Drosophila melanogaster: one gene and its partners. The protein of the gene in region 2 interacts with the protein of the main gene of each other region in a pairwise test. Each region holds a gene or a part of one and is shown on either strand. Other genes may lie near its edges. The genes, in order: CG14323, Srp54, CG14490 and CG10324.

What was found.
Region 1: the proteins of Srp54 (region 2) and CG14323 interact in a two-hybrid assay, tested with the Drosophila melanogaster proteins (one large-scale study listed by BioGRID).
Region 3: the proteins of Srp54 (region 2) and CG14490 interact in a two-hybrid assay, tested with the Drosophila melanogaster proteins (one large-scale study listed by BioGRID).
Region 4: the proteins of Srp54 (region 2) and CG10324 interact in a two-hybrid assay, tested with the Drosophila melanogaster proteins (one large-scale study listed by BioGRID).

Annotation. Positions count from the first base shown.
Region 1 is NT_033777.3:17,617,910-17,625,079, forward strand, and holds CG14323 (uncharacterized protein), read right to left. Parts: upstream 4,204-7,170; 5' UTR 4,192-4,203; coding exon 3,559-4,191; 3' UTR 3,290-3,558; downstream 1-3,289. Other genes in the region: CG14324 (uncharacterized protein), read right to left, coding at 416-796, 852-866; CG14326 (uncharacterized protein), read left to right, coding at 1,224-1,244, 1,310-1,702.
Region 2 is NT_033779.5:9,907,897-9,916,471, forward strand, and holds Srp54 (splicing regulatory protein 54), read left to right. Parts: upstream 1-5,014; 5' UTR 5,015-5,151; coding exon 5,152-6,693; 3' UTR 6,694-7,148; downstream 7,149-8,575. Other genes in the region: Etl1, read right to left, coding at 1,343-1,969, 2,028-2,330, 2,390-2,536, 2,593-2,860, 2,921-3,253, 3,313-3,875, 4,229-4,389, 4,448-4,580; yip2 (yippee interacting protein 2), read left to right, coding at 7,452-7,470, 7,729-7,895, 8,156-8,575.
Region 3 is NT_033778.4:17,856,680-17,864,030, reverse strand, and holds CG14490 (uncharacterized protein), read right to left. Parts: upstream 3,272-7,351; 5' UTR 3,233-3,271; coding exon 2,824-3,232; intron 2,759-2,823; exon of another isoform or gene 2,703-2,758; coding exon 2,518-2,702; 3' UTR 2,440-2,517; downstream 1-2,439. Other genes in the region: thr (three rows), read left to right, coding at 1-2,433; orai, read right to left, coding at 4,237-4,773, 6,234-7,220.
Region 4 is NT_033777.3:16,643,583-16,651,874, forward strand, and holds CG10324 (uncharacterized protein), read right to left. Parts: upstream 3,423-8,292; 5' UTR 3,346-3,422; coding exon 3,209-3,345; intron 3,160-3,208; coding exon 2,438-3,159; intron 2,365-2,437; coding exon 1,592-2,364; 3' UTR 1,490-1,591; downstream 1-1,489. Other genes in the region: Arl6IP1 (ADP-ribosylation factor-like 6 interacting protein 1), read left to right, coding at 303-326, 436-801, 966-1,169; CCT3 (chaperonin containing TCP1 subunit 3), read left to right, coding at 4,314-4,347, 4,406-4,467, 4,553-5,052, 5,119-6,157; Mettl4 (methyltransferase like 4), read right to left, coding at 6,464-7,543.

The DNA of each region.
Region 1 (7,170 bases), on a different chromosome or scaffold from region 2:
GATAATTTGAAAAAATAAAACGATGCTATAGAAACGTACCAATATTTTAATAAGCCAATGGGGTTGAAATCCATACATATTGTTTACGGGTTAAACCATTTACTTTCTATAGTTTAAATATTTTCTTTAATTTTCAGGAAAATTTGCAAAGAAAAAATTTGAACGTGCAGTTGACCGTTGAACAACAAAATAACACAGCTGGGCTCAACCGGGATTTGAACCCGGGACCTCTCGCACCCAAAGCGAGAATCATACCCCTAGACCATTGAGCCTCATAACGAGTAGGCAGCTGTTCGCCAGTTTCCAACTAGGCAAAGCAAGGCATTTTCTTGAGTAAGCCTCTAAAGACAAACAAAAATCATTGCTTTGATGTAACAATCTAAAATATATATTTAGTAAACATAGAACAATACTCTCAGCGCCGCCTAAAGGTGCCACCACCCAATCCGCCATAGCCACCGCCAAATGAACTGGCAGAGCTAAAAGAGGAGGCAGAGGCAAAGTTCTGGTAGCCTCCGAAACCGCCGCCATAACCTCCGCCAAATCCACCTAGACCTAGACCACCCTTCCATCCGTGTTTGATGGGAATAACTACTGGTTGGGGGACTGGGACTGGAATTGGTTGAGGAATAGCCACGGGAACTGGAACAGGTTGGGCCACTGGGATCGGTTGGGCAACTGGATATGGGACAAAGTTGTTGTAGACAGGGGCGTAGCCTCCTCCAAGCTTTCCACCAAAACCATGTGAGTGTGCAAGCGCCAAACAAAGCAGCAGGGACAGACCCAAAATCGTTATCTGCGAATGAAAAATCACGTCATCTGAAGTGCAGATATAAAAGTCACACACTCACCTTGTTTTGCCTCATGTTCTCTATTGGATCTAAGCGTTGCCAAGTTTAGAACGGCCGTATTTATAGCAATGTCCCAGCACTTCCTGAACTTCCTTTTCTTGCATAGTTCAAAGAACTTGCAAAAACTTGATCCATAACCAGTTTATCGAACCTATCAATTTTTATTGTATCAAAACTTAGTCACAGCAACTAACAGCAAAATATAAGAAACCGTGTGAAAAACATTGAAGTCGGTTAAGTTCAGATGGGTTGAAGGTCGCCTTTTGGTCGTGTTCCGGAGTAATGTGGGCGTAGGTTTTTAAGAACATTGCTATAAAAACTGAAACAATCGGTGGCTAAGCAAGTCAGTCACATTTAAGACGAACTAGAAACATGGTCAAGATTAGCTGTTCGGTGAGTAGTGGCTTGTTATACAGAAGATCACATGTTTCCTAATAATTTGGATTCCCTTTTATTAGCTGCTGGTGCTCCTTTCGCTTTGCGCTTGTTCATACGCTCAATATGAGTATCCACAGCAGCGCCCTTCGCCGGGAACTGGAGCTCAGCCTACTGGTGGGCAAGTAGACAATCGTATCCTTGGAAATCTCCTCGGTGGCGGAGGAGGACTCCTTGGAGGCGGCGGTGGCGGTGGAGGACTTTTCGGAAATTTATTGGGCGGCCTTTTGGGTGGCAATCGTCCGCAACCGCAGCCCTACCCAGTGCCAGTTCCCGCATATGGGGGCGGATTCGGCGGTGGATACCCAATCGGAGGAGGCGGATATGCTGGCGGTCTTCCTGGTGGTTATCCAGGTGGCTTTGGCGGCGGCTTCGGTGGCGGATACGGCAATCCATACGGTGGATATTATGGCTAAGACCACAATTTTGGTACCTCTAAAAGTATTATTTGATTTATAAGTTGTTGACATTGACCATTTAATTAAAATTCATGAAAAAAACAAGTTCGGCATTTTATTATTTTCGGTGACCGCTTGATATAAGGGGATGTAGCTCAGATGGTAGAGCGCTCGCTTAGCATGTGAGAGGTACGGGGATCGATGCCCCGCATCTCCAGGAATAAGTCTTATATTTTCTTTTTCCCAAACAAATGTTTATTTTTCGTTTTTCTTAATTAAAGTGGTTTTGCTTGTTTATTTACAGCAGTGTTTTTGTTTGCGTAGCCTGATAAAGTAAAATGTGCAATTATCAGGCCAACGGACAAGCGGCTCAATGGTCTAGGGGTATGATTCTCGCTTTGGGTGCGAGAGGTCCCGGGTTCAAATCCCGGTTGAGCCCGTTCTAACTTTTTGGAACTTCGTAAAATATTTTTTAAATAAATATATTTAAATTTTTTTAAGCAAAACATAATTTAAAAAAATATAGTTGATAACAAAAATTATTATCAATTGGAGATGCGGGGCATCGATCCCCGTACCTCTCACATGCTAAGCGAGCGCTCTACCATCTGAGCTACATCCCCGTCAGAAACTGTTGTGTCAAAGTACCAAAATAGCCAGCGTAGATGTTCAAAATCACTTCTTTTGGTCAACTCATTTGGTAATTGAAAACATAAGTTGTTTTTTGGTCGTAATTTCTGGTTTCAGCCTTGAATGCTTGAAAGTAGATAAGAATTGAGCGTTGTGGGCTCTTTTAAATTTACTTATGCATTTCATTTCCGTTTCCGGTCAGTGAAAGTTGTCCGAAAGAAAGCACAAACACCTGTCAATTGAGTCTGGAGTCATCCCACTTGCTTTTCCTTATTGTCCTAGAACAAACATAAATAAACTCCAGGACAAATGCATATGAAGACGGAGAGCATTGGACAGGAGTCAGCAAACGCCTCAATATGTGGAAAAGCAGATTCCGGTGGCCAGATCCCTTCACTATCTGCACTTTCACACTTCTGTTTATTCAACTGTCGCATGGTTGTTTGCTTCTGCCACGCCCTTGGGCATGGGCAAGCTCTATTATTATTTTCGCAAGTTATATAAAAATAATAACAGGAGCGGACACGGAGCTGACCAGGCCAATGGATGGCCATCCATTATGCTGCCGGGCATTTATTTGCCAAACAATTGAATCTCTCCCCAGCTCCTTGGGCAGCTTGCAACCACTTCATCAGCCATCCTCGTTTGCAGCTATCTTATGGTTTATGATGGAATCAAAACAAATGCCGGAGCTACGATAGCTCGGCTTTGCTCGTCCGGAACCTCGAGCTCATCCTTCAGCTGGTGAGGATGATGATGATGAGTTTGTTTATGCAGATTGCTTGTGGAGTTTTTCCTTTGGCGTTAATGGATAAATGGACGTGTGAGTGTGTGCGTGGGTAACCCTTTTTGAGGATTTTTCCGGGGAGCTGCGCCACTTTCGAAATCTAGTTGGTAATGTAAACAAAATGATTTTAATTGCACAGATGAACGGTTTTCATTTAAATTTATTGATACCAAGCAATGGAAACACTTAATTTTACGGTCTTTATTAAATTGCGAAATTATTTAAGTACACTTTTTTAATAGCTTAAAAACATTGGTCAGCACTAAAATAATAATCCAATAATTTTGTAGGATATTGGAGTTTTCTTGTCTTAGTTTAAGCAATAGATTGCGGTTTTTAGTGTGCAAAACATTTTCCGGTTTCGAAAACTTAATTTTATCTCTTTTCACTTAACTTTTTTTGACGCACACATTTCAATTAAAATTGTATTGTTTTCTTTTACTTTGCTCTGCTCTGTTTACTTGGGCGAGCGCTTCCTCCGGCTACTTGTTTTCCCATTCATCCCAGGGTATTGGAAGGGTATTGGAAACGGTCCTGGCCGTTGTCCAGGTCCTGCTCCTGGTCCAGAATACCCACCTGCGCTGGCCTGTACCGTTCCAACGGATGTGGGCGGTGGCATACCAGGTGGTGGTGGAGGGAAAGGCGGAGCTGGTCGTATCGGCGAAGCTCCGCTCAGATACCCATAGCCCATGGGACTTCCAGACGTCGCGGAATTTTGATCACTTTGATAGATATACACATTGCTGTTCCCCTGAGCCTGCTGCTGATTCAGAGGCATGGTGTAAAATCCTGCAGGTGTAGCGTAGTAACCTGGTTGAGGACCAATAGCCGCCAGGCTGCAGCCATATACAGGACAATTGTAATAACCAGATATGGGATAGGCGGGGCCGGCGAATATGGGATCCGGATTGTGAGAGGCCATCCAGCGGTTACGCCAACGACGAAACAAAGTACCCAGAAAGAAAAACGATCGTCCATCGATTGGTTCTGGTCCTGTATGATCTGGTTCCTCATCCACATCCAAGTCGGTTTTCTGAGATCCATTGCTGTTGACCAGGATCAGCAAAAATAAAATCTGGAGCACTGCCATTTTCCCAACTGCATCTGCTGAAATCTGTAGGCGGACTACTTTGCGTCCGATCTCAACTCCAACTCAGTGAGTCCCACGAAGACAGGCTGCCTAATGGGCCTTGTAATGAACATTCAAGTGCTGTAACTTTGGCAAAGCAAACAAAGCGTGAAATTTTATTAATACAAAAACATTCAAGGCTGCCCCAGTTACCGACCGAAATCTGTACAAGTATTAAAATGCATATCCGAAAATGTATATCTTAAGTTAAGTTAAGTATTTGAATAAAAATTATATAAAACGATTTCCTTTTTTAGGCATTCATTTTATTTATTTTCATTTCATTTATATGAAAACCCAAAATTAAATTAAAACTAAAGCAAAGATTGCCAAATTTATCTAATTAAAACGCTAAACCACTATTTCTTTATACATACAGTCCAAAATAGTTAGCGGCGCTCACATCGGGGATGTAGCTCAGATGGTAGAGCGCTCGCTTAGCATGTGAGAGGTACGGGGATCGATGCCCCGCATCTCCAGAAGGTTTATTTTTATTTTATATTTCCGGAATTTACATATTGGTTTAAAAAAATTTAAAAATAGGTATAAAAAAAAGTTGCAGTGATTTCCCAAGTATGCATCCCTAAAAATGTTCTCCTTTCCCACGTAAATACTCGCGAGCCGCACGTACGAGCAATCTTTCATTATTAAATGTACAGAAAAACTCGAAGTTTTTGACTTTTGCTGCTTGATTTTATTTTGCCGCATTACATACTTTTGTGAGGGCAACAAAAACCGTTTTGAGTTATGAGTTCTGCGTGCCAGGTGTACTAACATTTTAAGCAGTTGAAGATAATGCGACGCCTAAACACCCTGTAAGGCTGTGCTGCTCAAGAACTCTATACTCATTGAATCAGGAAAAACACCAACTTCTGAGCCATGCCCGCATACCCAACTTTTAGCGGGAGGCCTGCGAATAAAGTGTGCAAAAAACAGGTGACAACAATCAGTACGAGGTAAAAAAGGAGGTGGCGCACGTCCGTGTCTGGAAAAACAAAAACAAGAACCACCAAGGGCTGTGAAAATTCACGCGCCCGTGAAAATTTCGCACGTTTTTACGGACCATGAACTTCATACACCCCGACCAGATATTCTTTCAAAATATGAGTTATGGCTGCATAGATTAGCTGGCAACTATTTGATTTCTCCAACACGAAATTCATTTAATTAAAAAAATACGCAAAGTCAACAGAAAAACTAACTAAACTTTCCACAAACTTTGTTGCCATCAAAACAATAAAAACCACAATCCTCGGCCGGGCTTTGCCTTTGTTATCGAAGCTCGAAACGGACAATGGAGTGTCCTTTTTTACGACAATGCCAAATCCGGCGGAACCACATAAATTATGTTAATGCCTCAGCTATGTACACGCCCACTGTGTGCGACTTTGGCCGAACTGACCGTCCAGGATAATCAGAAAAATACACAGCACACATCGTCCTGGACGAGGGACATTTGCTTAGTGGTTTTGTGAGATAGTTTCTGGGCTGTCCTGTACATTGAGAAAATTGCTGACAATTGCTAAAAATCTCGGGTGACGATGAGGCTTGGATCAGCTTTTTTTTGGGGTGGGCGTTAGAGCATTGCGAATGATATATGTATGCTTGAACACATGTTGTTGGGGCCCAGAAACTGAGCTTATATCGTCTGGGCAAATATTAGGGGGATATTTTAGTGGAGATGGCCAAACTTTGAGATCATCAAAAGGGAATCGTTCAACTAACTTTTGTATCCGATAAGTGAAGTCCCGCAGCAGACGACCAGATATTAATTCTCGGGGGGAAATTAGAAGAGGACATTGCTGTATCCGATTTACAAGCAAAAAGGACTCTGCAAATTAAATTTATAAATATAATATACCATTGTTCGGCTTGTCAGAAGTTTGTTTTTCCCTCCATTGTTACATAATTATATGGCCCGGAGTTATCGGTGGGCTTGAGTGCGTTTGTGTATAAAAAAGCAAGATAAGCCAGAACCGAGTGCATGTAAATAAATTGAAACAAATAAGCTGACTGTCGGCTAATTGCAGGGAGACCCCTTTATCCAGAAAAGCGAATGAAATTGAAAAGCCGTTCGTTCCATTTGCAAGGCAAATATACGAGGCCCCGGATCTCCGGTCGTTTTTTTTCCACCTTGCGGTGGACAACATCGCAACATGCTGTCGAACATTTCCGCCGGACGGTTTCCGTTATGCAACGCCACTGCAAGGACAACAACAGGTGGATGTCGAGAAGGATGTGCGAGGTGGTGGTGATTCTGAGTCCGTAGCCACTGTTTACGCCGACCAAACTTTTTGTCAGCTGTCATTGGGGCAGACGTGCAAAAGAAAAACGAGAGTTTTCCCTTTATTCTGATTCCAAAAGACTGACAGCTGAATACCCCGTAGGAAAAAAAACACGCACAACACAATTCGCGTTTGAGAGAAGGCCCCGGCGAGATTCGAACTCACGATCTCCTGTTTACTAGACAGGCGCTTTAACCAACTAAGCCACGGCGCCACTTATGTTGAACCTGAAAATTTGGAAACTTCTGTGGTGGGTGGTTGGAGGTATCAATGATCATTAAAAATAACTCAAGGTCAAGTATTGATTTTGATAGATGATACTATGAAGATAAAATTAAAAAGATATGAAAAACTAAAAAATACTGACACAATCTTTTGTGTAGGCCCCGGCGAGATTCGAACTCACGATCTCCTGTTTACTAGACAGGCGCTTTAACCAACTAAGCCACGGCGCCATGCGTTATATGCCTGACCAAATTTTCATAATTGCCTTGCCCAATTCAAATTAAAGTGTCAATAGCTGAAATGACATGCTCTTCAAATAGAAGATCTTAAAAAGTAATTCAACGAGGTCCACGTATAAAAATGTATGTAAAGTACTAGCGTTCTTTGAATGGGAAGAACCATACAAAATATTTTCTTTATTTACAATACG
Region 2 (8,575 bases):
TATATTTTCCTATACTACTCTTCATGTTTAGCCTGCACGCGCTGTTTGTTTTCACCCGACTTGTGCGCCGTATTCTTTGGCAATTGCCAAAAACTGCTCACATGTGCCGCCGCATCTATATTTATAGTATATGACAGCGCTGCGAATGATGACTGTATCGCAGCACTATGTAGATACATCTATAAACCTATATGCAGTTGGCGTTGCTTCCGTTTCCGTTGGTCAAAAACAATAATATCAGCGGGCTGGCAGAAAGACAAAATAAAAAAAAGAACAGACTATTTCAAATTATTGGCCCGATTTATTTAGCGTTTTAGTCGCCGCCGCGGCACAATATGATTTCCGCTCGCAAACAGTTTGTCTATTTTTAAATAGAATTCAAGAAAGTATTCGGGGAGGAAACGTATGTACTTATGCATGAATCACATAATCCCGATTCGTAAGAGCAAAATATAAAGGATCGGGGATGTAATTGGATTTAAACACATTTAACTACGGGACAATGGAACCTTGGAATTTTGGTTTTACTTTAGGTTTCCATGGGTTCGTTGCTGTCGATCGAGACACTATATCTGCGGGGTATATCTATTTATCGATGTACGCCGTATTATGTGAGCATGTATGTATATTCGCACGTATGTATGTATATGGATGTGAGTAACGCTGCCGGCTGCTACACTGGGCGCAGGCTTTAACTTAAAAATTAAATCATCGGCGCGAGCGATCAGTTGAAGACTAAAGACTTGATGAATCGCCGCGCCAGCCGAAAGCTCTTCATTACAGTTGTGCTCTCTGGAAAGCGATTCTCCGCTTCTCTTTGCACCACACAACCAAAAGAATCTCGTGGGAAAATGCGAGAGCGATCCGTTTAGGGTTGTCGAGCGGCTCGAACTATAGAGCAAATATGTAGAAATAAATGAACATGATCGCATTCGTACACAAAATGATCTTTATCCTTATAACAATAGTTTCAATTCGATACATAAACAGAAATTACAGAAATGAAAACTAATCATGATGACAAATCAATAAAACAAGAATATTAACTTGTCTGCCTTGGTTTATCGTGGAAATGTTGCTGTTACTAATGAAGAAAAACTAATGTCGCCTCAACGGTGAAAAATTACTAACTCGATTTATGATCCACTTTTGGCATACCATACACCAAATCTCTCCTTGCATACAAGTTTAAAAAATATACAAATACAATATTGTTAGAATAATTCAAACGATGTTAACAGGATTTGACAGCGGTAGGACGATTAGACCAAGTTGATCAAATGCTCGCGCAGAATAAATACGGAGGTGGGGACAAGGACGAGAACGAGGACAACGAGAATGCCTATTTGGCGGGCGAGGCTATGGAGTTGTTTAGTGAATTGTTTAGCTGCTCCTCCTGATCCTTGTCCAAGCCAAGGGCTGTGGTCAACAGCTTGACCACACATCGCTGCTCGTGCACCTCGCCCTTCTCGTTGGAAGTAATGTCCTTTTCTAGTTTTAGCTTCTCTTCGGCGGCCATCAGGATGCCCTCCTCGATGGTACTCTCGGAAATGAGACGGTAAATGGTCACCGGACGCTGCTGTCCCATGCGATGACACCGATCCTCGGCCTGTTTATCGTTGTACGGGTTGAAGTCGATATCGTGAATGACACAGGTGTCGGCAGCCGTCAGGTTGATGCCAACGCCACCGGCTTTGGTGGAGAGTAGGAACACAAAGATGCTATCGTCCCCATTGAAGTCGGTGATCAAATCCTGGCGGACATTTACGGCGGTCGCCCCGTCCAGGCGACAGAAACCAAACTTTCGTATTCGCAGATACTCCTCCACAATGTCCAGCATCATGGTGAACTGGCTGAAAAGCAACACACGGTGTCCTTCTGCCTTCAGTTTTGGAAGCAACGTATCCAGGTAGAGGAATTTTCCAGAATCGCATATCAAATTATCGGGTATTTTCACGTCGTAAAACTCCTGAAAGATGCACAAATTTAGTCATTGTCATTGGACAACCTCTTTGATAGTCACTTACATGCTTGTTCATCATCTGATAGACCTGAAAGTCTGACATAACGGCTAGCTCTTCAAAGATGTATTGCTCGTTGGTCTTTTTAAAGGAACTGGCATTAGCCAGGCGCTTAGAGAATCCACGTAGATTGGCGTCGGTGAAGTAGTGACGCATCAGCAACGGATGGTTTGCAATGCGGCGCATCTCCATCATGATCGCTATGCCGGCCCTTTCGCTGCTGCTGCACACCTCGCCCTTGTTATTGGAATAATAATCGACCAGCTCGTGATAGTATATTTTCTGTTGACTGCTCATGGGCACTTTTTCCTTTAAATAAAAAACAATTTAATTATTGTATAATATTTATTTTCGCCCGACGTACTTACCACCAGGCTTAGCTTCTTGGGCAGGTTCTTAAGGACATCTTTCTTAAGCCGTCTGAGTACAAATGGCTTCATGATACGCTTTGCTCTCTGGATTTGTGTTTCCTGGAACTGTGAAACCTCATCCTGATCTCCATCGCTTTTTCCCTTCTGCAAGGAACATGAAGTTTATATATTGTTTTGTGTGAAACCAATCTTTGTTTTACCTTAGCAAACAACGATTTTATGTCCTCAATGCTCTTGGCAAAGAATTTGGGCATCACGAAGCAGAGCAGAGAGATTAGCTCCAGCAGATTGTTCTGCAGCGGAGTTCCAGTGAGCAGGATTCGCATCCTAGCGTTTATGGTTATAAGGTTAGCATAGCGTTGCGTGGTCATGTTCTTCAGCATATGGGCTTCATCAAAAATGACGTAGTCCAACTTGCAAACCCGGAACATTTTCCTCTCCTCCGGCGTGGATCCCACAATGTGATATCTGTTCAAAATGTACAAGAAATTTAAGCTTAGATTCTTTTATGGCTTTGTGGATATTTACGTGGTCAGAAGAACATCAAAGCCGGTAAATCCATCCTTGGCAAAGCGGCCTCGCATTCTCCTTCGCTCGTCCTGCGAGCCATGGTACTTCTCCACCACCAGTTCGGGACACCAGCGGCTAATCTCTGCCTCCCAATTATCCAGCGTGGACGAGGGCACCACAATTAAATGTGCAGCCTGGCTAAGACCATTCTCCTTTAGATAGGCCAGAAATGCAATAACCTGAATTGTCTTGCCCAGACCCATTTCATCTGCCAAAATGCCATTCATTTCTTGTTTGTGCATTACGGTGAGCCAATTAAGGCCAATTATCTGATAATCAGCCAGCTGTAGACTGCAAGAGGAACGAAAATAGAAACACAAATGGGGACATGCATGCTGGTTAAGGCTCACCCGCTGCTAAGAAGCTTAGGTTGCTCCACAATGCCAGCACCATTGGAAATCGCCTTCTCCAGACGCGACACCATGTTATTGCACTTACTTAGAATAGCGGCCACCGTGTTCTGTTTGTTAATCAGCTCTTGAGCGTAATTCAAAAGATCACCCGACATCCTGATGCTCTCCAGCTTTTGGCGCAAATCAGACCAATCACTAAATGGTCGCACATCAATGATGGCTAATGCCTTCTTCTCGGACAGCGTTTTAACTGACTGGAGTTCAATTAGCGAAGCCTCGTTCATAAACTGGAAAACTTTTTTACGTTGCCCCGTCATCTTGGTGGACATCTCGCTATCGCTGTCATCGCTATCATACACCTGGTCCTTGGACTGCTTCACATCATCGTCGTCCGAATGGTCGTTATCCGAGAAGTTGCCTCCACTAATTCCGTTTGACCTGGGTTTCAGCTTGGACTTGGCCAGTGGTCCATTGTGCCCCTTGGGCTTGCAGTTCTCCCTTAGGTATCGCACGGAAGCGGCCACATCCCAATTGGTGCGGGAAAGAGACTCCTGGATGGCCTACGGAACATATTTGAAATTTATTTCAGTTAAAATCGAGATTTATGCAAAATATTGCATTAAAAATGAGCAATTTTAAGCTATAAAATATTCTGATTAATTTTAAAATTCAAATAAGAACGGTGATAATGTCCGGAAATATTTTATATGAGGCACACCAAAGTAGTGGAAACAGTTACACGAGAGGGTTATTACTGCTCCCATCCCCGTCAGTGACGCCCCTGGCTAACGACAGCTGTTCGCAACGCCGGGCCGAACCGAATCGCCATGTTCCCCGAACTCAGATGCAGAGACGCGCGTTTCCCCGCGAATCGCCCCGTTTTACCTTGGTGGCATTTCGGCCGGAAACCTACCATTGTGTCAAAGTGGGGCGAAATCTTGGCGGCTGCCATGTAGCGCTCCTCCTTTTCCTTAACGGTCAGCTCCAGTTTGGTCTTCTTGGGCGTCTGGGAGTCGTTGCCATCGCTGTCACTATCGGCCATCACCTGGATGCGCTTCTTTCCAGGCACACGCTCTGAAATCAGGCAGTTAGCTACCGTGTCAATCGCTTGGAATTTTAGCTCAGCAAGTACCAGTTCTCGAAGGACTAGCGACGACAGAGGAAGCATTCTTGTTGATGCGGAACTGACGCAGATCGCTGAGGCTCGACTTCGCGGACGATGAGGCGGAGGCCGACGCAGATGCGGCCACTGTGCTGTCCGACATCGTGGGACAAGGCGAAACGCTTCCTGGCAATCTGTCAGTCCTTATTAACAAATTCTGTTTGCAACTCCTACAATCTTAAGTTGGTATTTGTGAATATTCGCATGCTAGTGCGGCCGTTTGATTATCCCGATAAAACCTATTTCTATTTCTCCAACGGAATGCGGTCACACTGTGCGCCAATTTAAGTATTAGCTTAATGATTATTATTATTTTTCATTTATTTTTATCGAACTGTAACGCATTAGTGTAAGCTTCTATGAGATTATCTAACAATTTGCTTTTGTATATATCGTATATGATTTGATTTCGTCAACCTAACCGTAAGTAATTAAAACCGATGCCAAAATGAAAGAAAGAAACTTAAAAAAATCCCAAACTGGCGGTAAATTAAGAAAGTTGCCAGAGTTGCCAGATGTTATCGGCTTACCGCAAGCAATCGGCCAACAATCGAAACATTGGGACGCGTTGCAACCCTCTCTTTTTTTCGCTTGCTCTTGTAGGTTAATTGAAAACACTTTTATTGCAAATAAACCGCTTGCCGAGCCAAGGGCAAACCGATAAACTGGCAAACATGGCTGGCGGCAACACCCCGCGTGTGATCCAGGTGACCAACATAGCGCCGCAGGCCACCAAGGACCAGATGCAGACGCTGTTCGGGAACATTGGCAAGATAGAGGAGATCCGCCTGTACCCGACAATCCGTGATGTCTCCTGTCCGGTGCAGTCGCGCATCTGCTATGTGAAATACACGGACACGACCAGTGTGCCGGTGGCCCAGCACTTGACCAACACGGTGTTCATCGATCGCGCCCTAATTGTCATACCCGTTCTGGCCATACCCGAGGAGTATCGGGCCCTGGAGATGCTCAAGAACGGAACCATTGTGCCGGGACTCCAGAAGCCGGACTCCAAGCTACCGCCCGAAGTCATTAACCGCATCGAGGGACAGCTGCCGCAGCAAGTGATCAAGACGTACGACCCCAAGTTGGTGGAATTCAATCTGCCGGAGTACCCGGCCTTACCCTCGTTCTACGATGCGCGCAAAATCGAGGAGATTCGGCGCACCATTATCGTGTGCGATGTTAAGAACGAGTGGCGGCTAGACGATCTGATGGAATGCTTTCAGCGCGCTGGGGAGGTGAAGTATGCCCGTTGGGCCGAGAAGGATAACAAGACGTACTGCATGATTGAGTTCTGCGAACAGACCAGCATTATTCACGCCCTGCGCATGCAGGGCCAGGAGTTCAAGGGTGGCCATCTAAGCGTCTACCACTCCACGTATTCCATAACCAAGCCGGAGGCAAAGTCGAATGAGGCAGCGCAGGCTGAGATTGAGGAGGCCATGACCATTGTGAAAGAGGCGCAGAGTATGATCTCAGCGGCCATTGATCCGGTAATTGGAATGCTCGCTAAGGACAAGCGCCGCAGGTCGAGATCACGGTCCCGTTCCCGGGACCGTCGCACCAGTCGATCCCGCTCGCATCGTTCCACATCGAGACGCCGTTCCAGGCGTTCCGGTTCCAGAGAGCGACGTAGTGTGTCCCGATCACGCCGCTCTAGGTCGCGTGGCAAGCACTCGTCCCGTTCTCGCAGCAAGCGCTCAAGATCACGACACCGTCGCAGCTCCTCACGTTCCAGGAGATCACGCTCCCGTGGCGGCAAGCACTCTCGCTCCTCAAGGTCGCGTGGCAAGCGCTCCAGGTCCCGCCATCGCCGCAGCACCTCACGCTCACGTAGCTCGCGTTCCCATGGCACCGGTGGAGGAGGCAGTGGCAACGGCAAACGTTCCCGATCCCGCGAGCGCAGCAAGAAGTCACACCGCAGCGAGAAGCACTCTTCACGTTCTCCCCGATCTAGAAGCAAGCGCAGCTCTCCCTCGCCGCCGCCAGCTACCGGCAGTAAGTCACGGTCCAGTCGCAGCAAGGATCCGGTCATCGTTTCCGCCAAGTCATCCCGGCGGCGCGACCGCTCCCGTACTCCCGAAACTCGCAAACTCAAATCCATCTCTGAGGACACTGAGGTTAAGAGCTCACGATCCAGCGCCGATTCGAAGTCACGCAAATCGGTTAGTGTCGAGAAGTCGGACAACATGGACATCTCCAACTCGCCCTAGACCTAGAGAGATTGCATACTACTTTATAATAAATACAGAACTTAAGCAACCCCGTCTCCAGTACAACCCGACACCCATTGTCCTCAATGAGATTTGTATTTCACTCAACTCTGTCATAGTTTTCAAGTATAAAGTCTAATTAAAACTGAAGCATTTTCTTTCGTAATGAAAAAAATAGTACATACAAATATGAATGATATCGGTATCATAGCAGTACAATTTTTTTTAATTTTTTGCCAAGTACGGATTGTTTATTTGGAAACTATAACAATCTTATTGTCTTCTTATTAGGAAAACCCAATACAAATGCAAGTTAAATTAATAAAAAACTTTCTAATGAAGACCAACTTTAAAACATTGTATGATCAACATTTTGTAAGGAGTACTTAAGTATGCAAAATTGCTTTGATAAATATACATTAAGAACGCATTAAAGAGACTTGTATTTAAAAACTAGAGGATTGATTGAGTTTCATCAAAAATCGAAATTCAGCGATGGTGACTAATCGTCACTAAGAACAAAGGAAGGAACAAACTGCAGCTAATTTTGCACAGTGTATTCTACAGCTGTAATCGGTGGGCTTGTCTCACTTTGTTTGTCAGAGAGCGGGGTAAAGCTTTTCGAGCTTTCATCCAATAATATGTCGGCGATGGCGGCGAATCGCGACCAGAAGTCGAAAGTTATTGCAGTGCGATAGTCGCCTTTACTTGCATTAATTTATTTGTTGTTTTATTTAAGAGTGAACCCACCTTAGAAAATGTCTGCCGCAACCAAAGGTAATTATGTGAATCCTTTAGGATATGCCTATGCTGTTGGAAGTCTAGATAAGAGATGATCTCGCTAGAGAGATCTGAACTTTGGACTCGTTGGTGTCTTATCTGATGCTATCCCCCCCCCCCGCGTCCAGCCGGTTGCACTTTGGACCTGTTGAATCGAAAACAAAAATCCGCCTTCGTTCGAGCTAAATTTGTGCTATCACTACGCACATTATATATGTTATACATATGTTCGTATGTTTCTTCTCCTTTGTAAAGGTATCTATATTGTGGCTGCCAAGCGTACGGCCTTCGGAACCTTCGGTGGATCCTTGAAGGGCATCAACCAGACCCAATTGCAAACCACGGCGGCCAAGGCTGCCCTGGATGCTGCCGGTCTTAAGGGTGAGCAAGTGGACACCGTCATCGTGGGAAATGTGATCGCGGTAAGTTGGATTGAAGATCCTAAAATAGAAACTCTTAAGGCGTCGGATTAAAACAATATTAAGATGTTATTAAACTAAAAGAAATATGTAAATGTGATAAAATACTTGTACATCTGGTTATGTAAATTAATTTACTCGATATTTATTTGTTATTATTGCTTAATTGCAAACTCAGTAGATCAAAAACTGGAACTACATGCTTATATTATGTTTTTTTGTAACTTGTAAGTCTTAAAAATCTCTTCTCTTCCACTTCGCAGTCCTCCTCCACCGATGGTATTTATGTGCCCCGTCATGTGGGTCTCAACTGCGGTGTGCCCATCGAGAAGCCCGCCCTTGGAATCAACCGGCTTTGCGGTTCCGGCTTCCAGTCGATCGTAAACGGAGCCCAGGACATCCTGGTCGGCGGTGCCAAGATAGCCCTTACCGGCGGCGTGGAGAACATGTCACAGAGCCCTTTCATTGCCCGTAATGTGAGATTCGGAACCACCTTGGGTGCCAGCTACAATCTGGAGGATGCTCTATGGGCTGGCCTCACCGATACCTACTGCAAGCTGCCCATGGCTCTGACCGCTGAGAACCTGGCCGATCAGTACAAGATCAGTAGGGAGCGTGTGGATGAGTTCTCTCTGCTCTCGCAAAAGAACTGGGAGAAGGGTCAGAAGGAGGGAGCATTCAAT
Region 3 (7,351 bases), on a different chromosome or scaffold from region 2:
CTACCTTTCCCTCTCACTCCGGACCAGAAGAAACAGCTGTATGATACCGATTTCTTTGCCTTACTACACTATTTGAGGAGTCCTTCTACGGCTCATATGGAATCACTTATTCGTTGCCGAACGAGTGACTATCATCTGGTACTCTTGGCCAGACAAATGCGAAAGGATGACTCGATTTCGAAGAAATGCATAGAGGTTCATGATAAGCTAAGGCAACAACGTTCGCTCAGTCGAATGGATAACTTGTGCCTGGGCCACGCAAGTGTGGGACTACTACTGGACGCACTGGAGGCTCAAAAAACCAAAGTTTCCACCAAGGAGATAACGGAAAATATGTTCGAGGAGCTGCTACTCAGCAAGAATTTATGGCAGATGAACATACAAAGGGAGCAGCGATTGGTCAACTATGCTAGTGAAGCCATCTCGGCCTTCAGCAACTTCTTCGATCGAGCAGATCAAGAGCCATTGAGCGCAAATGAAACGTCTATTGATTGGGAGGCATTGATTGACGATGCCATCGCTACTGCCAATGCACTTTCAAGTATGGGGTATCAGTCAGAAGAGGATGATGCCTGGCTGTTGCTTCTGAGGATGGGTCGCTTGCTGGAAGATCGTTTTACCTATCTGCGTGCCCTAAATCATTTTCTGTCACAGAATGAGGTTAGTTCTCGTTTAAATCTGAAACTCGGCGAGGAAGTGGAAGTAGCAGAGGAATTGCTGGATGATTTGTGGCCTCAATTGAAAAATGGCAAATTCTTCAAGCGTCAGCAAACTACGGTAATGCTCTGTTTTTGTCACCTCGCCAGTTACTATGCCAGAATGGAATGCTATAGTCATGCCCAGTTGCTTCTATTGCATGTGGAACAACTTCGCGAAGAGTTTCCTGAGAGACAAGGAAAAAGTGATATTGTATTGCTTACACTGCAAACGGTGCGCTTTCGAATTGGGTATCAGCAAAGGAAGCCAACGAATTGCAGGCTGCCGACTCCTCTGCGTCAATTGGACATTCTTCTGGACAATGTGCGAAGTTTTTGCAATCTATCCAGTTTAGATGGCGGCTCATTGCAGCTGCTTCTTTCGACTCTTGTCAGGGAAAGCACCGAGTGCTCTGCGAACAGATTAAGCGAAAGACTGTCCTTCTCCAACATTGCACTACATTTGGTACTCCAATCTGGCTTGGCTTTAAGAGCCATAGAGGTATTCCTTGCATGGTTATGGACCAATTTGCAAATGGAAAGTTTCGACAAGGCGCAATCGAAGTTGAGACTCATCGAGCATTGTTTAGGTATAAAACAGCTGAATCCAACGAGTAGGCCGGAAAAGGAAGCGATTAAGGATGTAGCAATTAGAGATCTGGCTAGTAATATGCATCTCCTCCAGTTGGTGGAGCCGATCAGAAAGCAGCAGCTATTAAATATGGCCTCGCCGAATCTGCTCAAAATGCGACCACATAGCCCAAATCCCCAACTGGACTTGGATCGCTACATAACACTCGATGTGGCGCCAGCGAATCTTCGAGAGAATTCCCAGCTGCAATGCTTGTACTTTGTAACGGGCTGTCTACATGCACGTCTCCGCTTTCTGCAGAGAAACAGCGAACAATTGGACGAATTCTATGGAAGAGCGCATAGTTGGATGCAGGAAAAACCTCCGATGAGTAGCGCTTTGTATCCCATGTTGCATGCCCAGCAGCTGTATCATCTGAACTATCTTCGCTTTGCGCGAAAGCATGTAGAGGCTATATCAACGGCTCAATTGGGCCTTAAAATGCGATCACGCGCGGTCGACATTAACTTCGAGTACAATTTTTTGGCTCAGCTAAAGACGGCTCAGTTAGAACTCAAACCCGTGGGTCAGGATAAGCCACAGGTCAAAATCCTTCGACGTGCTTTGGTATTCAATCACTCACCCGAAGATAAGAAACGAACCGCAATAGGATCGGTTTCAGCAGTCAAGAATACGGCGTCTAAAGTTAAACAGTCGGCCAAAAAGGCACCTCGATTCAGAATTTACGAGGAGCTGGAACTACGACCACCAAGTGCTACCAGTTGCAGTAGCAGCGGTGGCAGCGGAACAGAGAATACACCGCCTTCGGATCACGTGGATCTAAATGCCTGCCAAGCGATCGAGATAAGCGACGATGACGATTCACCTTTGGTGTCCACAAAGAAGACACAACCAAAAAGTAGGGAGAAGGCAAAACCCAAGGCCACATCCAAAGCTTGTAAAGTCCTAACATTGGATAATAGCTTGGAAATAGTAGAAACGCCGACAATAACTACAAGTACACGGAGCACCAGAGCCAGGCTGCGCCAACCAGTAGAGACACCAAAGACAGCGACTCTTTCATCCAAGCGAACGAGGCGCCAGGTTTTGGAAGCACAGGCTCCCGAAACGGAGTCCATTAGCACACGCACACGGCATCGGCACTGATTAGATAGTAGTCTCCTTAGTTCGTATTTATTCTTATCGAAAATGTCTTGGTATTTAAATATATATATATATTGTGTGTAAGTGTTACAAAAGAGCTTTTGACATAAATTCATTGTTTTTATCTTGTGGCAGGGACAGTAGTGACGTTCTACAGATGTCCTTGCTCCAAAAACCGTGCTGAATCCGCTGTCCATTGCTGGCATGGTAAAATACACCTGAGCCCGATTTGCAGCCTCCTTCAAATTGACCCACGTAGCGATTTCCCGTTGCTATGGATAACATATTAACTTATTATCTATAATCTTTATGCATTTTTAAAGTTGCGAAAAAATAAATAAAATGAAACAAATACATCCAAAGGAACATATCTTATTTCTTTATCACACTCACCCGTGAAAAGTAAACCCTTTTCGTGCATCTTGTCCCGAAGCCACTCGCCCACATAGATGCCGCCATCCGCCTGCCATAGGATGCCCTCTCCACTTCGCTGGTCCGCTAGCCACTGACCAAAGTAGACGGATCCGTCCGGATAGAACTGCTTGCCCTCGCCACTCCGCTTGTTCTCCCGCCACTGACCCACGTAGATGCGTTCCATGCGGCCATCGAGCTCCTTGCGACGCAAACTTCCGATGCCATGCCGTTGACCCTTCTGCCAGTGACCCTCGTAGACAAGTCCACTGCTCGTTTGCTTTACCCCAAACCCGTGAGGCTGCTGGCCCAACCATTTGCCCTGGTACTGCCCACCAGGATAACGTTGAGAGCGAACTCCACTACTATATCCGCTCGTACGCGACGACATGTCTTCGATGACTGAGCGCGGGAGCAAGTCCGTCCAATTGCGGCGGTGCCATGTGGTGTCGTCCGACTTTAGGCGGCGGTGTGCGTGCGGTGGTGTCACTTGTCTAATCGAACCCCCCCAGCCAGCAGCAGCATGTCTTGCCACCATTTGGCTTCCTCCAGCAGCGACACGCTAACTTAAGGAGGCCAAAGACATTGGCTCAATAGAAAATCGTTTGTTCCGGTTAAGTGTATGTAGTAAAAATCGTTTAATCAGTCGTATATAAATTACAGCGCTATTTAGCTTACATCGGTAAAGATCGAAAATAGACTGTTATATTTTCCAAAACTATTGGAATACCTATGAATATAATTCGTATATAAATATTGCAGTACATTTTCAAATACTTTATTTTACAATTGTTTTATGTTGCATATAAAATATATCAAATTGTCTCTAAAATTTTGCATTCTTTTAATCCGCATCTATTGTTCAGCTATATATCACGATTAAAAATAAAACTCCAACACCATATATATAGAAAATTCTTTTAATCATAAATTATATGGTATAAATTACAGCGCGGTTTCGCTTACACAATTGGCTTAATATTAAATTTGACAATCAAGTTGTGTCTTAAACGTAAAAAGGGAAGACTGCCTAAGGATGGTTGCAAAAAAAGAAAATCCGGCATGGCATACAATTTAAAATACACGCAATATAAATATGTAACAAATATCAGCTAATTTTTTGAGGAATATTCATCCGAAGTATTGCTTTAATTGGGGTCTTTTATCATTGTCAATATCCGTGCTAATCCGCAATTGCCATAAGTAAAATAAAGGACTACAGCAGCACTCGCACATATATATATATATATAGTAGAAATCTACTGAATTCCGCGTATCACAATTTTAATCAACTACAAATTTACAATATGTGTGTTTCACTAAAAATAATCTGAAGCTTACCCTGAGCCGCTGTCTTTTTCGTTCGATCCACTTGTGCGGATACGCCAAGTGATGCTAGACAATGTCCCCGGATGCGCCATAGTTCATGCCATTATTTCGTATGTTATTGTGATGCTCCAAATGATCCTGCTCCATCTGCTCCTTGAGCATCTCCAGCTCACGGATGCCCGAGACTGTCACCTCATATTTGTGCGACACCAGGGAGCGATAGAAGTGAATGGCGAAGGCCATAAAGATGATCATCACCGGTATGAGGACCACACACGCTGACCAAGCCGCCGGCGGACTTAGGTCATAGAATTTCACCCAGCACAGGATGGCTATCTCCAGTAGAAAGAGTATGAGTCCCAGCAGCGTGGAGAATGCCCACGCCGTTTCAATGTACCAATGGAGACGCTCGTGTGGCGATTCGTGGACCAGGGAAATACTATGCAAATTACACACCGTCTCAATATTTGGCAGGATACAGGTGCTGATCATCAGGGCCAGCATGTGCACCGCCACCAGGAGGGTGGTGCAGATGGCGAAGGCTATCAGCATGCCCGGTGGTACATTCGTATCGTGATCCAGTTGCACCTCCACCATCGCCACCTATGTGAAAATTGCAAAAGTGAAGAAAGTCATTAATGATTTTTATTTAATTTTGGTTAGAAATCGAAACGATTCCCCGGCATCGCCTCTTATTATTATTAGCCATTTCTCGCGAGAACATTGCAAAATTGGCAAATAAGCAACTTTTCTCTTATATTATGTGATCTGAATGGACCTAATTTATCTGATCCGCCCCTAATGCCGCGCCTCCCTTTCTTCAGCATGCTAGGTGTACATGTGGAATGCATAACAAGTTGATGAACCAAAAAAAAAAAGCGACATATAAATACCTCGTCACTCAATTAATTAATATAATAATTCAGCACCTGCAATACTTGCACATTTTCCAATTGATTTATTTAATATTATGTACTGCATACTATAATTTAATAATTTATCTAGATTTAACTGTGTCGTGTGTGGAATTGCTAGACAATAAGTGGGAATTTTAACAATGCTGGGAAACCAACGAATGTATCATGATGTATGTTGATATTTGCTTTGATATTTGCTCCTCTTCAGCAAAACTGCTACAATATTGCAATAGTCTAAACTACCCATAATTAATGGGTGAGAAATACATACGAGTATATGCACGGCAAACAGCTAACAGACTTGTTTGGCCAAGAAAACGATAGTGGGAATAAAACGAAATCTATTTCGTTGGCCCTCAATTTCTTGCTGCCGGCATCGAAAATAATTATGTTGGTTAGCAATATTCACAGGTACAGAAGGCTAATTATTGATGTATGATATATATATATATATATACATATATATATATTTATATATCCCTGTCATGATTGAAATTACTTAAATGCGACTGCGAGTAGGTTAATGGGCACTCAAACGGAACAAATAACAGATTGCATTCCGTTGCGCGATACGCCAAGTGGAAACCACTCTTATTATAAAATAACAATAATTATTTTGTTACAGTGTATGCCATATTCGTGGTGGCATTTTCCGCCTTTTGTGCTGAACAAACAGAAATGCGATGTCCAAATAAAAAGATTATGTGGTTTTTGCCATCATTTCTGGCCCTGCACATTGAGTTGGCTTAATGTTAAAAAAAAAAACATAGAACTATAACCTAGGGCAAAAAAGTAGTTAAATTGTAGTCTACAAAATAGCCTAATAATTCCTAATTGTTTCATTTTAATACACATAAATGCCCAACTTAATGTGATTTTTGCGCCAAATCGCTTTTCCTTCGAAATGTAATTTATAATGGATTTTTATGTGCATTTCCAAGGTATCTATAAGTTAATTGCTCTTTTAGAGATTCAGTTTAAAACTAAACTAATTTGTTACATTATGTATCTTCGATGAAAAATTAGCTTTGTATAATGATGTTGCTTTGATATTTACGTACATTAATTTTAAAACAACAGTTGTCAATGTATTGTATAAACCCTTTGTAAAGTATAAAGTCTCAATAATTAAGAGTTTAAACTCACCATGGCGAATCCGGAGAGCAGGGCGGACGTCTTGCTGGATGCCTTTAGCTTGGCCCGACTAAGCTGGAGCTTCCGCCAGGACAGGTAGGTGGGCGAGTGGAGATCCTCGCCGGACTGCGACATGCTGCTGCTGGCGGTGCGATGGTGTCCGCGCGGCTGAAAGCGGTAGGATTGATTCTGTTGGTAGGTGCGCAACTGAAAGGGCGGCGGCTGGGCCGCAAATGGGGGCGATGCTATGGAGGCTAGTGGTGCTAGTGGCGCTATCGGTGCTACTGCTGAAGCTGCGGCCGCCGCTGAAGCTGCCGCCACTGAAGCCGCATATGCTGGCGACCCGTCTCGCTGCGCAGTGAAGCGTCTCGTTTGCGGCGAATTCGAATTAAACTGGCTGTGATAGAGATACCGCGACGACCCCACAAAATTGCTCGCTCTCAGATTGCCCAGCTGGTGAGCGGGCAGCTGGTGGTGCAGGGGCTGGGCTGTCTGGGTTGTCTGGGTGAGGGGCAGTTGGTGGGCGTGACCGAGGTTCGGTTGCGGGCGCATATAATCGCCGTAGTCACCGGTTGCCGCTGTGGCTGTAGCCGCCGCCGTATAGGCATCCACACTGGCCGCCAATCTGGCAGTGGCATGCAGAGCGCTCGCCAAGGCCGAGGCTGGCTGCCGAATCCCCAAGCGGTTCGGCTGTGGATGCACCTGGTAGCGCCTCGATATCGGCATTACATCCAGGGTCTCACTGCTCGCCGTTCGTTCGGTTGACGATTCGAAGGAGCCCTGCTGGTGGCTCAGCATCAGGCTGCTCTGGCTCAAATTGGCCCGGGCATAACGCAGATTGCTCGTCCCGCTGCCCGGCAGCAATTGCTCCTCCTCGTGATCCTCCGCCGGCGTTTGGGCGGCCTCTTGGTCCGCTGACTTCATCTTCTTGTGGCGTCGGGGCGGCTTTAGAGGTATCTGCTCCTCTGGCTTGGATTCACCCTCTTCAAAGGGTGGCATGGACTACTCTCGCTCTCGGATGGATCAGATATAATTAGTCTGATAAATATTCTATGCCCTCTCTTTGCGACAATAAATATTAGCCAGTTAGTATCTAAACTAGGCTAAGAATGTATCTTTTGCTGTTAGTT
Region 4 (8,292 bases), on a different chromosome or scaffold from region 2:
ATTAGAATTTAGCATCAGATTTTAGCCAAATCAATACAAGATTTTTAATACAAACTTTTAAAACAGAGTTGTAAAGGGAAAAATTCGATAAGTTCCGATTGAAAGTGCAATCGCTGTTTGAGTGAAACAACCCCTGAATCAGTCATTTCAAAACGTCGATCAACGGTCACACTGCGACTTTGGCGACTTAAAAAACACCCAAGAAAATTGATTTTTCGCTCAAACCGAAAGCAACACCTTTGGGCATCAAATAGATTTCTCGGAATTGAACGCGCACCGCTAGGAAACAAAGAAAAGCCAGCATGGCAGCATCGCAGGTTGACCAGGTGAGCGAAGGGTGGAACTGCCGAAAGCTTTCCGGCCGGAAAACGGCGTCGCCATTGAAGCCCCATTAGTTAATATCATAATGATTCCTCATTTTCCGGCATTTTCCAGAAACGAGCACTTAACAAATTAAAGCACGACTTGGAGCCTTTCCGGACAGCCATCGTGGGAGCGTACGGCGTGCTAACCTGGGAGAAGCAGTACTACGCCGGAGTGGTGTTTGGCGTCATCAGCTGCCTGTACCTGGTGCTGTGGTACCTGGACTTGTCGCTGATTACCCTGCTGTCGCTGCTCGGTGTCATTAGCATTTTGCTGAACTACGCATTCCCCATGGTGTCGCGCCTGATCTTTGGCGGAGTCAACTGGGATGGCGACCAGGAGGCCAAGTTCGAGGACGTGTGCGGCCAGGTGTGCGCCGTCAAGGGCAGCCTGGTGGTCTGGTACGAGTACCTCTTCAACGAGCGGAAGTCCACAGTGGTGAGTAGATGCGGTAGAGACCGTGTGTGTATATGTATATGAAAACAGAGAAGCAGTTTCAGGGCCTAGTATGTGCAGTAGATCTTCTTCTGCAAGCTCAAGTGTAAATAAAAACTTCGGGTTCTATTATTATTTCATCTCACATTTATTCGTTTTGATTCCAGTTTGTAATCGTCATGAGTTTGGGTCTTTTGGCTATGGCCTGGATTGGAGCCATCATTAACAATCTACTGCTTATGTACTTGGCCACCCTACTCATCCTCATGTGGCCAGGACTACAGAACAAGGACATTTTTAAGGCCATCACCCAAAGGGCCTCGAAGATTATTAACGAGAAGATCCAGTGCGGCAAAAGGAAGCTGCAGTAAAGGAAAGCAACCAGATAAACTCATCACCATTTGACCAAAAATATAAAACATGCCTAAGTCATCTACTTGCCATTATGCACACATCGCATCACTAAATCACACATTAGGCGCATTGAATTTGAAACTATAAATATCTTAAAAGATAAGAGCAGCGCATACAGAAAAAAAAAACTCGGAAAACTAGCAAATCCGTGGTTCTGGCCCCATCACATCTCCTACTATAAGTTTGTAACATGTAAGACAGAAGTATTCTCGAAACGAGGCGTACGGAGAGAGAAAAAAACGCGCAACAAAAGACAAGGCATTTTTGTGATTATTTTGTGAGTTAATTGAAATTTATGATAATCCCAAGTAAGATAAAAAAAGGAACTTAAGCGTCTAATGAACTATATTTAAATAAAGATTTCAACTAAATAGATCAATCACTGACGGTCTCTTGACCTTGATCGCGTGCGGGACCTGACATGCTTGCTCCTCTTGGTCTTCTTTTTGTGCTTGCTGTGGTGACGACGATGGTTTTCACCGAGGCTGTCATCGCTCTCTAAGCTGGAGTCGTTGTCCGCCTTTCTCGACTTGTTCTTGGACTTCTTTGAGTGTTTTCTTGACTTGTGGCTGGATGATTTCTTCTTGTGCTTCCTGCGTTCATATGCAGAGTCGGAGTCGCTCTCGGTGGACTCTCCCGTATCGTCTGCCTCGTCTGAACTACTCTTTGTTCTTCTGGTGCTTCGGGGACTTTGCGAACGCTTTTGGTCACGGTCTTCCCGCTTCGACTTAGATGGGCTTCTGCCTCTGGGACTCGGCGAACGACGACGCTCACGTTCCTCGCGTTTAGATACAGAGGAGCTACCACTCCGCACATACTTCTTTTCTCGATCCACCTCCTCTTTGTTAGATTTGGCTTCCTTGTACGATTTTCGCTCGTCTTTGTACGTCCTGCGATGTTCGTCTTTGTACGTTTTTTTGTCTTCATATTTGTAAGACCTTTTATCTTCTTCCTTGCATTTCATGCGATAGTCTTCTTTACTAGATCTCTGGTCCCCTGGCTTCGAACTCTTTTGATTTTGAGCTTCATCCCGGTCTGATCTAATTTCTTCCCTGCGGTCTCTGTCCCTTCTTCCTGACGGATTTTCCTGCTTCACAATAATCTGGCCATGCTCGTTTTCATTTTTTTTGAATTCTTCGTATTTGGCAGTGTCTGAAAGTAAATGTAAAAGAAATATAAAAATGTCACAAATATAAAGGATTTGCATTTTCCAGGCTCCACTTACTTATGCACTTGCCATACTGAGAGTACTCCTTGCGGGATACGGGCTGACAAAGGAACTCGTTGAACGCCTCTTTGGCCCCTCCAATTGCCATTTTGACAATTACTCGCCCTGCATGGTCATCAAAACCTTGGATTTGGCCATACTGATCCTTCTGCTTTCCGCCCAGAATGCGCACGTACGCCTGCTTCTTAATCTCCAGTACCTCGTTCTTCTCCGGCTGGACCAGTAGAGCTTTAGGTTTGAGCGCCTTATCTGCTCCCAGGCCCATGCCTTTGGGTCGCAGAAAGGGGGCATCATCGATGGGTCCTGAGCCCTTCTTTTTTGGCGGTGGATCAACCCAGCCCATGCCGCGCAGCATGGCTAGGCCAAATTGTTGTATCGGTATGTTGTCATAGTCATCTAGTGTTGCCTCCTTGGCACCATCGAGAGGCAGTTCGTCTGCGCTTAGGGCGGGCAGGACAAGTTTCTGGTCATCTAGGCCTTCGGCACCGTTATTTTGGATGGCAGATATCAATTCCCGAGCTGCTCTCTGTTCCAGACTCTCCGTTGGACCGCCTGCGGTGACCTCTGCTATAGACTGAGCCACTGGAGTCACCTCCTCTGGATCCGGTTCCTCCTCGCCCAGCAGAACTGCCCGCCTCCTCATCAGACTCGCCAAAGCGGACGAAGTCTTCTGCATGCCTATCATTTTGATGGTAAGAGGAGCAGCTTCCACCTTTTCGCTAAATATTACATATGAGTATAAAACTATTTCAAGATATTTTAACTTACTCGACTGGCATGATTTCGTTTCCTTCCAAGCATTTTATCAACTCCACCTTGCTTTCCTCTTTCGGCTGCTTGCTGGGCAGAATGTTTGGTTTCTTGGACAATTTACTAAAGCCAAAAGATATCTTCTTGGCCTCCATGTTGTCTAGTTAAAAAATTAATAACTATTAAAAACAAATTGAAGCCGAAATGTATCGTAAACAAACAGGCCACAGCTGACTCGCGGTTTGTTATCGATATCGATAATTTATTTAATTTATGAAACGCTTACACTACACTTTTAAAGTATTTGCAAAACTTATTTGTTTTTCCATTTATATATAAAAACTACCATGAAATCCATTTAATACGTTTTGAGCAGTTTTATTGAATACAGCACAGGATCTTCAAATATTAAAAAGTTCGACGCTGTTTATGTAACTCATCATTCCAAGTAATCACTTTTCCCCCGTTATATTCAGAATATCCTCCAACATTTTCTTTTTCGAAGGTGATACAATTTTCATAAATTATATTTTAACTTCTTTTGAGTTTAGTTGGTTAGGCTTTTTAGGCTTCAAAATTTCCACATTTTAATTATGATGTGATAGAAATATGCTATATAACATAAATTTAAAATCCATTCGTAATATAAATTAATTTCCAGTATCACTTACACCGTAGAAAATATTATTTATTGTTACAAGTTTAATGTTTTGATTTCGCTTAAACCTCAGGGTGGAAAATTTAAAACCAAGTTAGGCGCCTTCAAAAAATCGCAGTTATGACGAATGTAATTCTGTGACATCGATAACAAAAGCTGCATAGTGTAAGTATACTGTTTCTCGATATCGATTCTTAAGAGAGCTGCTGCTTCGAATTGTGGAGAATTTGAATTAAACTTATAAGCGATCGCAAAAGTCAGTTAGCAGTAAGTGAGGAAAGAAAAGAAACTAGAAGAAGGAACTGGCAGAAGTAACTAACAAGCCGGTCCGCTCAATATCCTATCGAACCTTCTCGAATAATGTGTCATCGGCGGTTCTAACCTCACTCATTCTCTTTCAAACAGCGGCAGCGCCAGCACGAGTTCAATTGTTTTCACGCAGAAATAAATTAAACAGCCAGAAAGATGTTCGGTGGACAGCAGCCAATACTCGTGTTGAGTGAGTATGAAATTTGCACGTCGTAGAGCCCAATTGCAATCGAATTACCCGCCGACAGGTCAAAACACAAAGAGAGAATCGGGCCGCAAAGTGCAGTTGGAGAACATCCAAGCCGGAAAGGTATGCGTGACTCACATGTCTGGGTCTTGGGTTTTTGTGTTCTCGCGTTTTCCGACCATCTGTTGATTAAAACGTCTTTTTCCAGGCCATCGCCGATGTGATACGCACATGTCTGGGGCCACAGGCCATGCTGAAGATGCTGATGGACCCAATGGGCGGCATCGTGATGACCAACGATGGCAACGCCATCCTGCGTGAGATCACTGTGCAGCACCCGGCGGCCAAGAGCATGATTGAAATTGCTCGCACACAAGACGAGGAGGTTGGCGATGGTACCACATCGGTCATCGTCCTGGCCGGCGAGATGCTGGCCGCCGCCGAGCCCTTCCTCCAGCAACAGATCCACCCCACTGTTATCATTCGCGCCTATCGCGAGGCCCTCGAGGACATCGTCGGCCACCTGCAGTCCCAGCTTAGCATCCAGTTGGACGTCAAGGATAAGGCCAAGATGGCCGATGTGGTCAAGGCCTGTGTGGGCACCAAGTTCATTGGCAAGTGGTCCGACCTTGCCGTCAAGATTGCCCTGGACGCAGTCGAGACAGTGACGCTAAGTGAGAACGGCCGTCTGGAGGTAGACATTAAACGGTAAGAACGAAATTTGTTATGCATATTATTTTTGAATAAATAATTTTAACTTTGTTACTTTCACAGCTATGCCAAGGTGGAGAAGATCCCGGGTGGCGCCATCGAGGAGTCGTGTGTTCTTAAGGGCGTGATGATCAACAAAGACGTGACGCATCCCAAGATGCGACGCCTCATCGAGAATCCCCGCATCGTGCTGCTTGACTGCTCGCTGGAGTACAAGAAGGGCGAGAGCCAAACCAACGTGGAGATAATCGGGGAGCAAGACTTCACCCGCATGCTGCAGATCGAGGAGGAGTTTGTGCAGCGCATCTGCGCCGACATCATTGCCGTGAAACCGGATTTGGTATTCACTGAGAAGGGTGTCTCCGATCTCGCCCAGCACTATTTGCTGAAGGCTGGCATCACGGCCATCCGTCGGCTGCGTAAGACTGACAATCTGCGCATCGCCCGCGCCTGTGGTGCCACCATCGTGAACCGCACTGAGGAGCTAACCGAGAAGGATGTGGGCACGGGAGCTGGACTGTTCGAAGTCAAAAAGATCGGCGATGAGTACTTCACTTTCGTGACGGAGTGCAAGGAGCCCAAGGCCTGCACCATCCTGCTGCGCGGTGCCAGCAAGGACATCTTGAACGAAACGGAGCGCAACCTGCAGGACGCCCTGCACGTGGCCCGCAACTTGGTGCTGGAGCCACGCCTGGTGGCTGGCGGCGGAGCCGTTGAGATGGCTGCCTCCCAGCTGCTCACGCGCAAGCAGGTTAAGGGACCATACACGGCGGTGGCCCACGCCCTAGAGATCATACCGCGCACACTGGCTCAGAATTGCGGCGCCAACACGATCCGTGCTCTGACTGCTCTCCGCGCCAAGCACGCCTCCCACACCGGCGATGGTGTCTGCGCCTGGGGCATCGACGGCGAGTCCGGCGAAATCGTGGACATGAACGTGAAGAACATCTGGGAGCCGCTGGCCGTCAAGCTTCAGACCTACAAGACCGCCGTGGAGACGGCCATCCTGCTGCTGCGCATCGATGATATCGTCTCTGGATCAAAGAAACGCGGCGGCAACGAGCCCACCAATCCGGCGGCCATGGCCCAGGGTCAGGAGTAGTAGCCTGCGATTAACCACGTGTATTAATAATGCTTACTATCCTTTAATACTTAATTTAACACTCAAAAGAAAAAACAAAACAAAATCCCACACACGCCACCCCAAATGTTTAACATTTAGCTTCAGCCAGGCATCGTTGGCTTCTCTGGAAGAAGGAAACCCATCCGCCGGCCGCCTACACACAAAATTCAAATGCATTTGCTCTCATTAACAGTACACAAATAAAATTGTTAAAACTCATAGCTGCTTATAAATCCCTTATTTAATGAGGTACTTGTAAAAATTAAATACAATAATTAGGCGTAGCTAATTTACCTCCTCCTGGTTGCAATGTTCTACTTTACGGACTTCATATAGCCTTTCGTCCATCAGTTTGAGCACTTCTAAGCCAATTGAAGTGAAGTGGGGATGCAGATATCGGGCAAACAGCTCCAGGCAGTTTGGTTCCAGCTGGTCCTTATCCAACAGGAGGTGCTCCCTCAGCCAAGACAGCAGTGGTGGCTTGTGGGAATGCACAATGCTGGGCACGCTGAAGATCAGCTCGGTCTGTTGGATATCTTTTCCATAGTTTTCAGAAGCATCGGAGCGACAGGCCACGTAGAGCATCTCGTAAGGCTGCTTCTGGGTGAGATCCGACTGCGGGGGAGCAATTAGTTCATGGTCTGTGCTAAGTTTGTACCATCGGAGCTTGTGGAGCAACCGGAGATTCCAACTGGGCAGCAGCTGCTGCTCCAGGGCCAACTGATGCAGCGTCGAATTGGTGCACCAGATGGCCACCAGTGACCGTGGGTGCGTAAGCTTCGAGAGCGGTATGTGCGACAATTGCTCATTGCTCAGCATCGAGTATCCCAGCTCCGGCTTGGCCCGCTTCAGCCTGCGGATGTACTTATTCCGCCACGGAGGATCCAGCACGATGAGATCGTAGGCGGGCAGAAGTTGGTGCAGTAGTGCAGGCAGATTGTCCACATTGTGGTTGAAGAATCGGGATTGATTGGGAATCAAGTACACGCCACGGGATCCATCAACTCTCAGAAACCGCTGCATCCGTCCACTTTCGTTGGCTCCATGCAACTGGGGCACGTTGTAGCCATCCTCCCAGTGCCTCTTCATCGGTGAACTGTCCTCCGGTTCAACGGGCTTGCTCAGAAGCTCTAGATATTCATTCACTAAGTGTAAATCCTCCAAGGACGACGCATCTTCTACGCCGGCTTTCCTTTTGCGCTTCCTGGTCTTGTCTTCCTCAATGCCTTTGTCCGTCTTTTTGGCATGGAACTGGAACAGTTCGGACTTGAGCTTAAATTCGTCATATGCTTCGTTTATAAGTGTCTTGTGATCCAAGAACACTGCGAATTTCGAATCTTCAGTTTTCTTTTGCAATTTCAACATTTCCGATATTGAAATGTCTATCTGAAAATCATCCCTGAGTCTATCGATAGTTTTCCCAGTGCGCGAGATATTACAAAAATATAAAATAATTGAATACCGACTGAGTTATAATTTTACAATTCTCTAAGATGTAAGGTCATTAAAAACAAAGGTCTATATGCACAGTTAAATAAAGATAAATATCAAAGTTTTAATGTTATACCCACTACTAATAACGGGTCTTATTCCTGCTCAAATTAAAATAATCCTTTATATGGATTAACAAATCAGCATGGAGTTTTCGATTTCCACGACGGTTATAGTAGCTAAGCTCCTTGCTAGAATTTTCGGCTACAAATCTCAGCATTGTCCACATGTTCAGCTGATATTTGCACCGCAAGGGATTATGCTTTTGGTTTGCCTGGAGGAAGAAGAAGTCGGGTGGCGACTCTACGAGGAACTTTTTGGGATTCTAGATCCATGTATATCCATCTTGTACAGAAGCACTGACTCCTGTTTCAGTTTATCGGCCAGCCAATCCAGATTTGCCATAAGACTACTATTGACTTCAGCGCCATTTTGCAAGGAGTTGTAGAAGCAAATCGCTATATCATTATCACTGGCGTACATAAGTTCGTTCCAGCTATCAAGGCTTATATTCTCAACCTTGGGATCTCTAGCAGTGGGCTCCTCGGCTATCCCCTTAATCACCTGATCGCAGAAATCCCTTAGACTCTCCAGGTCGGGCAGTTTAGGCCCAGTGAAATCCC